Linked DNA regions of Nothobranchius furzeri. The protein of the gene in region 1 interacts with the protein of each later gene in a biochemical or structural test. Links are inferred from orthologs where the notes say so. Each region holds a gene or a part of one and is shown on either strand. Other genes may lie near its edges. The genes, in order: raf1a, rb1 and phosphatidylethanolamine-binding protein 4.

Region 1 (3,752 bases):
AGAGTGAAACTACATTGTTTAAGGGAAGTAGCTAGTGGGCTCGTATTTGTTACTGGTCTTCCTCTTTAGCCGTGTGTGGCTGAGCGGCTTTGTGTCCAGATCGGTTAAAGAGCACAAAACCTTCCAGCCAGATATGCTAATCCTACAGCAGCGCAAAGCCGCTCTCGGATCTGCAGAGAAATCGTCCAGAAGCGGCGCAGAGGAACCGGCTGTTTGTGTTTTTGAGCAGAACCTCGCCTTGGTGTTCTTCATGAGCAGTCCCGCTTTAGACAACAGGAATTAATATTCCTGTCGAGCATTTCGCATTTTTCTGCAAGGAACAACTTGCAGCGACAGCCAATTTAGCAACCCTGGGTGTTTTTTTTAAACCACTTTATCAGCCATCAAAACAACAGGCTGTTTTTCACACCCGGCGTTACATCATTCCTTCCACTGATAAGCTTCCCTGAAGCAAAGACAGCCTTTTAAACACATACAACACAATTAAAATATGATCCTAAAAAAGTCCAAACTTGACCACATGTGAGCCGAATAACATCTAATCTGTAATCTAGTCTACAACAGCTTGATGTTAATCTGGAGGTAATTAAACTTATAACAGTGCAAAAGTTCATTTATGTCAGTAATTCAACTTGAAACACCTGCAAAGGTTTTCCTGAGCCTTTAGATGGCCTCTCAGTCTAATCTGGATTACATAAATAAATGGACCATATTCTGAAGTATTGTTCCAGTTTCACCTGCATAATAAAACCTTGTTTTATCCTTCTGCAGAGGGTTTGTGATGAATAAGTAGAGAGAAGCAACGTCACCTTGGAAACCGTGACAGAGACTCTCTCATCCGTCGAGAGGTGAGCGGCGGCAGTGACGGGGTGCCGCTCTCCCCGGGGACCGGACACAACCTGCCGACAGAAACAAGAGACTAAAGTCCTGAGGAGGGTGTGTTTACAACAGAGCAGTGTGCAAATGACACTAATCTTTACAGAATTACTGTTCATCTACAGCCTGCATGCAAAATGAAACAAAACGGCCTTTTTGGCAGTGCCAGGATGCAAATGAGCACACCCCTATGCAAACTGGGATATCAGCAGAGCTTCCTTCTACTGTTCATCTTTGCAGAAAGTTTGGGTGAGCTCATTTCTAATATAAATCAAATTATAAAGCCCGAGGGAGATAAACGAACTGTGCGTGTGCTGACTTGCTTATTTTAATTGGTGTATTTTTTTGTAATTTGTTTGTTAAAAATGTTGTGCTTCACCATGTCACCATTTTCCCCCATTTAATCAAAAGTTGTTTTTATAATAAGAGACCCCTCTCAGATACTTACAGGAGCTGTCTGATGTTGCTCCAGTCCACACACATCGTGGGCACTTTGGTGCTACAGTGTTCGTGGAATTTGTAGCCACATGTTTGACAGCGGAAACCATTTAAAAGAAACTTCTGGCAAATATCGCAGAAGGCTAGCTTAAGATAGGTCTTCCGAGCCTGGAAATGACAGAAAGCATTTTGAACGTGTTGATTTAGCCGCTGGACGCGGAGGTGAGGGCGCTGCAGAGGACTTGGGTGCTTACAAAATTATGGGTCGTCAGCGGAACGTGATCTAAAACCTCGACCAGCAGCTCTTCCCCAATTAGAGAGGTGGAGTCAGTGTTCCAGTCCATCCGAGATTTTCTACTGGTTGGAAAACAAACCGTAGAAATAAAGGGGGAGAAACATAAGCATGTGATCTTCTTACTTCTGGTTACAATTGTCCAAAAACCCTGAACTCACCTTCTCTGACCTGGGTGCAGCTTGAAGACGGCGCAGCACTGAGGCTGCAGCCCTCGCACCTTCAGGGCTTTAATCAGACACGTGTACAAAGTCAAACCTGGTCGCACGTTTACCTGACACACGGGAAATTACAAATAATTATGATCTGAATTCAGAGGTCGCCGTGTTAAATGTGGAAACTCTAAACGCGTTTCCTAATGCAGAACTAACTCACCACCGTGCGTTGCTGGTTTGGGAGGTAGACACGGATTGTGCTACTAGCCTTCGAGTCTGGCACCTTGCTGTCATCTGAGGAGCGTCGCTGGTGGGGAAAGCCCTGGACCATAGTCGGGGAAAGGCAGGGACCCTCAAACGCAGAGTCCTTCATTCCAAAGCCGTTACTCAGGGTTCTCCACGCTCCTTGAAGGTGCTCCATCAGTAAAACTAAATACTCACAACAATCTATGCAGATCACAAAGGAACACATTGGATCTCATCCATCTCTGTGGGTGCATTCCTCATTTACTGGCTCTCTTAACTAGAACACAAAAGCTGCAGAAATGCATGTTTTGGGGCATACAGACACAATGTTTATGCTGACAATGAGAAACAGCATCTGCTGGCCTGGACACGGTTGATTAAAACACCAGGGGGGGAAAAGTGGCAAAACATGAGATTTGGGTTAGAGCGCTGTAAGGTTTAATCTCAAAACTTAATCTCACCTCCAGCAACCTTTAAATAGAGATCGCATGTGGGGATTGTGGCATAAAAACATATTAATTACTGAGAAAAGCCAGAAACACTGAGCTAATCCAAACTGCAGAGTTGTGTGTTTCTGCGGGTCTTTTTGTCTCGGCTGGAAGTTTATAACACGCAAAAAGAGTCGCGTGTGGCCTATATATGCTAATAAACCAGAAGAAGAAAACAATGAGCTGAGCTAAACTGACTATTTCATGCAAAATGTGTTTCCTGAAAACAAAAGGCCAGGCCATCAAATAAACCCACTCACCTGGATTGTTTCCATCACAAACTACTGAGCTTAATGTAAACAACCAAAAGGTTTTTGTTTATTCTTGACATTCACGTGTTTACCACCACCCTGCAGGTTTATACAGGAGGCTGCTGACCCTGAAGACACTCGTGTTGTTATCATGTCTGCTGTACTTGTGTTAATGCACATCTGCTGCAGACAGGCTAAACGCTGGAGATTTGTTGCAAACGCTTGATTCATCCCAAGCATGAGTTCAGTTTACAACAACGACATGGCTGCTTCATCAAACGTCCACATATGTGATTTTGACATGTAGCAGGTTAGCATGAATGCTGCTAGTGTGTAGCATTCAAACCAAACAAGGGACAAACAGCTATTTGGGATACTCGTGTGGGTTTTCTCGTGCTTTAAAATGATACGTTGAGGGTAGCAGCGAGTGTGTTTTTAAATAAAGCTCGACAGTTTCACCAAAAACAGCGAAGCAGCCAGCAGGCCCTCCCTGAAACAGCGAACTGAACTTCTGCTCGGTTTTTAATGGTTTAACCTGTATTTTGTGTTAATGTGTCTGAAAAAGAACCGGTTTTAACACTAAAAGTTCGGCTTTCAAGCGTGTATCAATAGTAGTGAAGTGCTAGGACCGGTAGATCGTACATGCTTACCAAGAGAAGTTCAAAAAGTTGTGCTCCGCCATAACTTTAGGAAAAAGTGGCGTCGGTGACATCATCATATCTGCAACGCATTCAAAGAAAAGTGGGAAAAAAGACCAAAAGCGAGTCCTCGACTAGTCCCAAACGCTCCTGTAAACGCAGAAAGTCAGTTCAGTTACTGTAAAACATAAAGGTCACAGGTGGCTCTTGGAAAAAATTCATCCAAAGCAACGGAAAACAAGGTTTTGTCTTCCGGACGTGACAAAAGCGAGAAATCCGTCGGTCCTTCAAAGTGACACGACGGTGGATTTTCTCCCTGATGCAGAAAAAACACTGAAAGTACAAGTCCGATGGGTTCCCCGCTAAAG
Region 2 (3,717 bases), on another chromosome or scaffold:
TATTGTTTGCTGAGCTTACGTACAGTTTTAGTAAAGATTCTACGCAACGTTTGATAAATGAGACCCCTGAACTTTAATGATTCTTTTGTTCATGTAGCTATATTTTAGGTCTATTGTAAGAGGAAAAAGTACTTAAATTTTCTGTTTATGAAAAAAAAATGCAGTAAACGTTCAGTGTAAACAGTAAGCTATAATTTAACAAACGCCTATCCTTCACCTAAAGCAAGAGAACACCTATTTTGGATATTTGTATTTAAAAACAGTGGTATTTATTTGTGCTACACAAAAGTAAACAGTATGAAGATAAAATGTAAACTTTGATTTATTCTTTGGTAAATATGAAACATCTACTCTCAAAACCCAAAATGAAAGATAAACCCAAAGAAATGGAGAAATGAACATGCTTTTTAAACAAGAGGCAAAGCAAGTCAAAACTATTACACTGCAAACATGGTCTACTTTTATTTTATTTATTTATTTATTTATTTATGGGCAGTCAATGACATGCACTGGCTTGCAAAATGGCGCCATGAATTATGAAATTGCTGATTTTTCCATACGACACAAATGTGATCCCAGATGTTACGTTTAGCTCGGATGTTTACAGTCACAACATGTGAGCAAAACTTCCACTTTTTCCATGTTATTATTGTCCGCAAACTCAGAGAAGTGTTGTAAATATACTGTGTGTGAATAAGAGAGCAGCCCACCCCCAGTCACATGACCTGCAGCAGCCAATGGTATGAAACTGTGTGGCTCATTAACAAGGATGTTTATTTTCTATATCAGTGCCAACCCAATGTATTCAGTTTATGTACTCAGCCCTAATGTGTTCACTTGTTAGCGTGTTAAAAAAGGACAATTACCTTTGGCCAAAAGAAACACTGTCCAGCATGTCTGCATCGTCTCTCTCTCCCTTTAAAAGGAGACAATAAAATATTAACTATACAAGAAAACAGTTTGTGATATAAAAAATCCAACATTAACGAAACAAAACACATAAAATGTGTGACAAATAGAGCTTAAACTCAACTTACTTGCCATACGTGGTCGAGGTAAAGATCTTCTTACAGGTTCTTACAAAAAAGAAGAAGAAAATGTTATGTCGTGTTTAAATCTTTGCCAGTTACCACTCCGACGGAATGAAAAGTGTCCGTGTTCACTCACTTCTCAAACCTCTGGTAGAGCGCTAACAGCACATCATATTTCTTCTCCAGTCGTGTAAGAACAGAGTTCACTTTGGTGCTTATCGTATCCAAGTTCAAATCCATCTGCCTCACCAGTTCCATGAAGAGTTTAAAACTTGAGTCAAAAGGAGAAAGAACGTTAAGAATAAGGGCATTTATTACTAATAGTCAAATAACCATTTACTAAAATCATTAAAAACACATTTTTTATCTTGTCAGTATTCAGACATTAGAAGGAAAAATAATGTAAGATACTAAATAACCAAACTGAATCTTCTACTTGATTGATAAGAAACATGAGGAAAACATGGACAGACAGTGCTGCTATAGAAGCAGAGAAAAGCCGCCATGGGAGCACCCACGTCAGTGCAACTAAAAAGGGGAGAGGGGATCATGATTAAAAATAATAATGGTATAATTTTAGACAAGCATCTTTATTCTAACGATAATTCAAAACACCACAAAAAAGATGTGTTATGCTTTTAGAAGAGTGCACCACAAGGAAAACTCAGCTGACACTCAGTTCTTACTTCATACTGATAGCTTTTAGGATCTGAGTCAAGGTGAAACAGCCAACATCCATGTCTGTTACAGTCACAAACAGACAAGCACCCCAAAGCTTTAGCTGACGATCCTTAAAAAAACAAAACAAAAATACACAGTTACAATCAATGTAACTAACAGGATAAAATTTATCTGTATCACTATAAACATTCACAAAATACGTGTATGAATGAGAGGGACCCAGATCAGAGGGTTTGGAGAAAAGGAGGAAGATTTTAAACACATCAGTCCAAAGTAATGGAGTGTAGAAAAAAGGTGTGATCAAGAATGAGTCCATCAGAGGGTCAGCTCTTGTTAGATGTTTGGGAGATAAAGTCAGAGGACATGTCCAGAGAAGGGACAGTGGAGAATACTTAGGTTGAACCTCATCCTTACTTTAACGATCTCCATGGATTCCTGCACTATTTTCCACAAGGACCAGGCACGGTCACACACCAGGCCAGTAACATGAAGGCTCTTACACAGACTCACAAACTCTCCATCCTTGTCTCTGTGTCTGGAAGATGAAAACACACAGATCCCAACATGAAAGACAGCCAACAGCAGCAGCTCTCTCTCTCTCTGTCTGTAAACCTAACAGGTCCAAATATAAGGAGTCTATGTTCAGTTTACTCCATTTAATAATGTTCACGGCTAAAAATTCCCTTTAAACTCAGATATTAGCACCAACAAAGGCCTGCGTTAACTTTGGCCAACAAGATGGCCACAGAAAAGCTATCAATACTACTAGAACTAGCTAAACATGAATGTAAAACTAAACCCAACAGCTGATGACACTCTTGGTGTTGTGTTGTAACTCAAACATCTTTACTTTTCTTACTCTTTCTCAGATAATTCCGGACTGTCCTTGTCTGGAGAGGCGTTGTCAGCTCCGGACTTCGGCTGCTTGTTGTGTACCATCCCGGAGTGACGTTTCTTAGGTGGCATACTTCTCGTCTCTGGGTACCTGACAAGCAACTTTTATCAACCCAAGAAACTTGCACTTTTTATTTTATTTAAGGCAACGGCTAATATTATTCGGGTTGGACACGCAAATAAGCTCCGTAGCAACAATACAACAAAATCCGAACTGCTTCCTGATGCTGTTGAAAGTGTGTGCTTCTTTTGTTCAAAAGGAGAGCGCGGCGGAGAGCCGGTGACCCCACCCTCTCTAGTTTACGCTCATGATTTTCTTAACAAACACCACCTACTGAGTTCCAACAACAGTCATGTTTTGTTTCAACTCGACGGCGTAAAAAAATCTAAAAAATCACTACAATAAACAAGTCGTAACGTTATGTTTGTTTTAATAGTTCTCGCGGACCGGCGTGAAGGACCACGTGACAAAAAACCCAAAACGAACTTACCCTAACTCACGAGACCAAAACGCGGGAAAATATATCTACGTCACATCCGCTTTTGCATTTTCCCCGCCACTGAGGGACAGTAGAGTGCGCCCACAGCTTTAAACTACTGTAATATTACGTTCAACTACCTATTAAAGTTAAAATATATATTTTTTTATGTAAAAAACGCACAAAACAGTCAATGGTTACTACATTGCTTCTAATAAAATACACCAAAAACACAGTTCTGTCAGAAATTACTTTGTTTTGGAAAAACAGCGAGTCGATCATCTACGGTGTAGCATTTACTAGTCAAAACTGAAATACAGTTATCAGAATGAACTTTTCTACAAGTAGATATGTTTTAGACTTCCATCCCGAGTTGTGGTTAGGATGCGTAAACATTTGGTCCAGCTATACCCAGAAATATTTCAATTTATATACAGCACTTCAAGCAGTTTGAAAGTAAAAGACTCCTGTACCAGTTTGTTTTGGTAGATCTATAGTTGTGTAACATGAAATAAAAACTAAACAAATAGGTACAATTTTTATTTCACTTCTCGCTCTACGTTTTTGTTTTTGTTGGGAGCTGAAGCAAAAAAACTAAGTAAAATTTAGAGCCTTCAGCCTTGAGCAAATCG
Region 3 (3,752 bases), on another chromosome or scaffold:
TACCAGTCTCACAGGAAGAAGAAGATAGGAATCACAAAATATTAAAAAACAACACAAAAATTAATCTAAATGATCTATACAACAGACTAAGTGCTGTGTATAATCTGTATTAAAAGAGCAAGTCACCCCCTACCAGATTCTTACTCAACTCCCACTTCCTGTTAGAAAAATGCAACAAAGGCTGTAGCCCAGCAGACCGAGAGGGCGGAGCCGCTAACAAAGGCCGTGTTTGAAACGAGCCAGTTCTGCGCAGATTAGATCAACAGTGATCGGCGTTCAGTGCATGCCGGTTAGATTTGTATCCGACTTGATGCCGACTCGCTCTGATGTCATGCATACGTAGGCAACGATAACCTCGTGAGATCAAGGCGGCCGCAGATTTTGGAGCAAGGCACTGCAGTTGCATTGTTACATTGCATTGGTGAGGTGCATTGTGGGTAGCCGGTTTTCAGGTGTTTTGTTCTATTATGGTGTATTTTCGGGTGTTTTGTTTGGGTTCTATTACTACGGATGTGTCGGTTGTTGTTAGTCTCTTGTTTAATTTTCTGAAGGTGATATTTTTGTACCGTAGTTCTACTTCAAGGGATGGAACCGCGGTGCTGTTCGGTAAAAAAGTGACCAGTGTCCTTGCCTTTGCTGGGCAGCAGCTGTTAGCATTCTGCTCTGCCTATCGTCATGGCATGTTAGCTGCCAATATTAAAAAGTTGGCTCATGACTCTTACACAACTTCCCGCAATTGGGCACGCAAATCTCTCAGCAGACATGCTCTTAACAGCACATATGTCATCTGTTAAAATGCATCCTGCCAAAAACAAAATTCACCAGCTGCCACTGACAGGGAAACTCTAGGACAGTGGTCTGCAAATGGCAGCCCGTGGGCCACGACCAGCCCACGAGCCCTCTCTTTGTTGCCCCCAAACCCTGCGCGCACCCCCAACCCTGACCGGGAGGTGTAGGATAGAGCTGGGGAAAATAATCAATGCATAAGATGTGGGCAGAAACGTTTCTGCATAACAGAAGAGTAATCAATTATAGTAGGATGTGGTTTTAACGGCGGCACCAGCGTAGCATCCACATCTGTCAGAGTGGGTGTTCTCCACATTTACCAGGTAGGAAACTTTGGTCCGCCTTTATGTGGTACTCCAGGGCTGAGCGCTGGAGTTTTAACCTGAGACCAAACCCGAACCCAATCAGCCCGATTGATTCTGTTGGATTTGGGCCGTGAATTATGTTAATTTAGCGGGTTGTCGTGCCCTCGCTCCGCTCGCTCGATCAGCGACTGAGAGAGAGAGAGAGAGGGAGAGACAGAGAGAGAGAGAGAGAGAGAGAGAGAGAGAGAGGATCGGAGGGCGCTCCTCCAAACAAGCATTATTATTTTCACAATTTCATTATCATTTCTCCTCGAAGCGCTCAGTCAGACCGAGTGCTGTGATGTCGGGGGATTTGGTCTTGGGGAGGGAGCAGGGTCAGTGACGGCGGCTGCAGCGAAATCAGTCTCTTTAAGTCTCTTTAATTTAGGGACACGGATAAGTTAAAAGGAGAGAGAAATAGAAGATAGACGTTCTTGTTCCACATTTGTCTTTTGTTTCATGATGATAAACTGATGTTAAATTCAGCTTAAAGAGAAACTGGGAGGAAGCTTTGGTTCATTTTAAGTTACAGGCGATCTTGTTTCATATCTGCTGCTCCAGAGACAGCATGGACATGAGGGTCACATGGTGAGGGTCCCACAGGACAGGTTAGTGCAGTCACACAGCCGAGCTGGAGGGGTCAGGTGATGTCCTGCTTTATATTTTATATTGCAAGTTTGTGTGATATGTGCATTACAGCCAGCGGTCCAAACTAGAGACCGCACTGCAATTGTATTTATTAAACAAGTGAACCACACCTTTAATTACATATCATAAAAAACTGCAGTATTTTCTTTTAGATTTCACTTTGTGTAATTGTGGCTCGTCTGTGCCGTCAGAAACAATATACATTTCTCCAAACGGAGGCCATACAAATAGTTACCTGAAGCAGACAAGATATGAAATGATTATTTCCACACAGCCCTCAATTCTTCATTTATCTCTATATGAATCCAGTTTATATTTAACTGTTTGTCTAATTGAATCTAAGAGGTTATTTAACAACCACCACTCCCAAGTGAGTCCTTTAAAACAAAGCAATAACGCTAATAAAGCCTACATCCGGGTCCTGGCTGGTGGGGGCTGTTTAGTTAAGGTGTCATCAGTAATAAAACTTGTGTCGCGCGCGCGTTGATCTGCATCAAATAGTCGGTCACGCGCTGAATATGATTACGTTAACAAGTGGTAATTTGGCGCAGGTACTTTTCATAATACTACATCTTGTTTATTTAAAAACGTGTCTTTAACCCCCTGCTGCTTAAGACTGCGTTCCCTTGTTTGTTCGTGTCACTATTTACACGTTGACGCGACACTTTAAATGAAGTCAAGACAGCTAGTAGAGCATAAATAAAGCTGCACACACACTATTATTTTTTTCTAACCTAGTATAAAGGTAGCGGTGTTGTTCATGTATCGTTACCATGTTTGAAATGCTCCTGTTGTCTTTCCTTCTCTGGGTGAAGCGCTCTCGCTGCTGCTGATTCTGCGCACCTCTACTGCGCACCCTACAGTATCAAGTGTCATAACTAAAACGGGGTAAATAAGACAGACGCAGCACTCATTATGTACGTGTTTATTCATTTATTTAAACATTATTTACACATTTTCAATAACACATGCTACAGAATTTTAAACGTACAGCTCCTAAACCATAAAAACAGATTCTTTAAAACAACTAAATCACCCGGAGGTCACAAAAATGTCCACCAGGCTCCAAACACTAAGAAAACATTCAAGTTATTTTTTCTCTTGTCTTTTTTAAATTTTAATTTTTTTAACAAGGCCTCATAAACTCTTCAGTAGTGACTGTGCAGCATATACCTTTTAGTCCTGGTGCTGCTAAAGCTCCCTTTGGTTTGTGCTTCTCTGCAGCTGTGATAATAGCACCCAGACACGTGAAAAGGGTCCCAGTGAAAACCTTTTTATAATTTATGATCAGATTTTTCTCCCACCTGATGGTTTTAATTCCTAACGAACTTGCAAAAGCATTTGGTGCAATTTTAGGAGAACCAGTGATACAAAGCAGCGCAAGTTGGCATTTCATTATGCATAGTAAAAGAAAAAAGGTGGTGAACTATGCAATAGCTTATATCAGTTACTATGTTGAGTTTGAACCTCAGAAGTCATTATACAGTAAATACATATTTGACTTATTCTTTTATTAGTAGATGCATTGTGCAAGCATTTTTCTGACTAGGATCAAAAGCTGGAGCTCATTAAGGAAACTTTAAAACAGTGAAATTGATCAGAAATCCCTGCAATCAATTCATTTGATGACCTGTCAACGTTTTTGCCTAGCCGTGTCGGGCCAAGTTTAGATAACTTTTTTTTGTGTGTTTCTAACTTTAAATGGTATAAACTCTAAACGGTTTTCAAACAAAAACACACTCAGTTGACCAACACCAGCTGATTCCTTTACATCCAAATGATGGATTGTGCACAGTTATTGATACACACAAAGCCTACAGAGCACCATGGCACCTTTAGATATAGCAAACAAGCTAGAGACCACATTAACGCAACTTCACATTCAATACCATAAACTGCAGTACGCTGTACATTAAGGCATGAGGTGATGTTGATGCAAAACATCAACAGAAGAATCACTGAGGAATGCATTGT

What was found.
Region 2: the proteins of raf1a (region 1) and rb1 form a complex in vitro, tested with the Homo sapiens proteins (3 studies listed by BioGRID, with this or other methods). The link is inferred for Nothobranchius furzeri from reciprocal best matches to the Homo sapiens genes RAF1 and RB1.
Region 3: the proteins of raf1a (region 1) and phosphatidylethanolamine-binding protein 4 form a complex in vitro, tested with the Homo sapiens proteins (2 studies listed by BioGRID). The link is inferred for Nothobranchius furzeri from reciprocal best matches to the Homo sapiens genes RAF1 and PEBP4.

What each region holds. Positions count from the first base shown.
Region 1 is NC_091755.1:58,343,057-58,346,808, reverse strand, and holds the start of raf1a (raf-1 proto-oncogene, serine/threonine kinase a), read right to left. Parts: upstream 2,465-3,752; 5' UTR 2,234-2,464; coding exon 1,982-2,233; intron 1,881-1,981; coding exon 1,768-1,880; intron 1,672-1,767; coding exon 1,569-1,671; intron 1,483-1,568; coding exon 1,325-1,482; intron 900-1,324; coding exon 810-899; intron 1-809. UniProt on the Homo sapiens protein: Serine/threonine-protein kinase that acts as a regulatory link between the membrane-associated Ras GTPases and the MAPK/ERK cascade, and this critical regulatory link functions as a switch determining cell fate decisions including proliferation, differentiation, apoptosis, survival and oncogenic transformation.
Region 2 is NC_091750.1:48,282,521-48,286,237, forward strand, and holds the start of rb1 (retinoblastoma-associated protein), read right to left. Parts: upstream 2,828-3,717; 5' UTR 2,679-2,827; coding exon 2,572-2,678; intron 2,248-2,571; coding exon 2,127-2,247; intron 1,822-2,126; coding exon 1,718-1,821; intron 1,303-1,717; coding exon 1,168-1,302; intron 1,077-1,167; coding exon 1,038-1,076; intron 917-1,037; coding exon 867-916; intron 1-866. UniProt on the Homo sapiens protein: Tumor suppressor that is a key regulator of the G1/S transition of the cell cycle. The hypophosphorylated form binds transcription regulators of the E2F family, preventing transcription of E2F-responsive genes.
Region 3 is NC_091757.1:40,557,725-40,561,476, forward strand, and holds the start of phosphatidylethanolamine-binding protein 4, read right to left. Parts: upstream 2,657-3,752; 5' UTR 2,554-2,656; coding exon 2,551-2,553; intron 1-2,550. UniProt on the Homo sapiens protein: Promotes AKT phosphorylation, suggesting a possible role in the PI3K-AKT signaling pathway.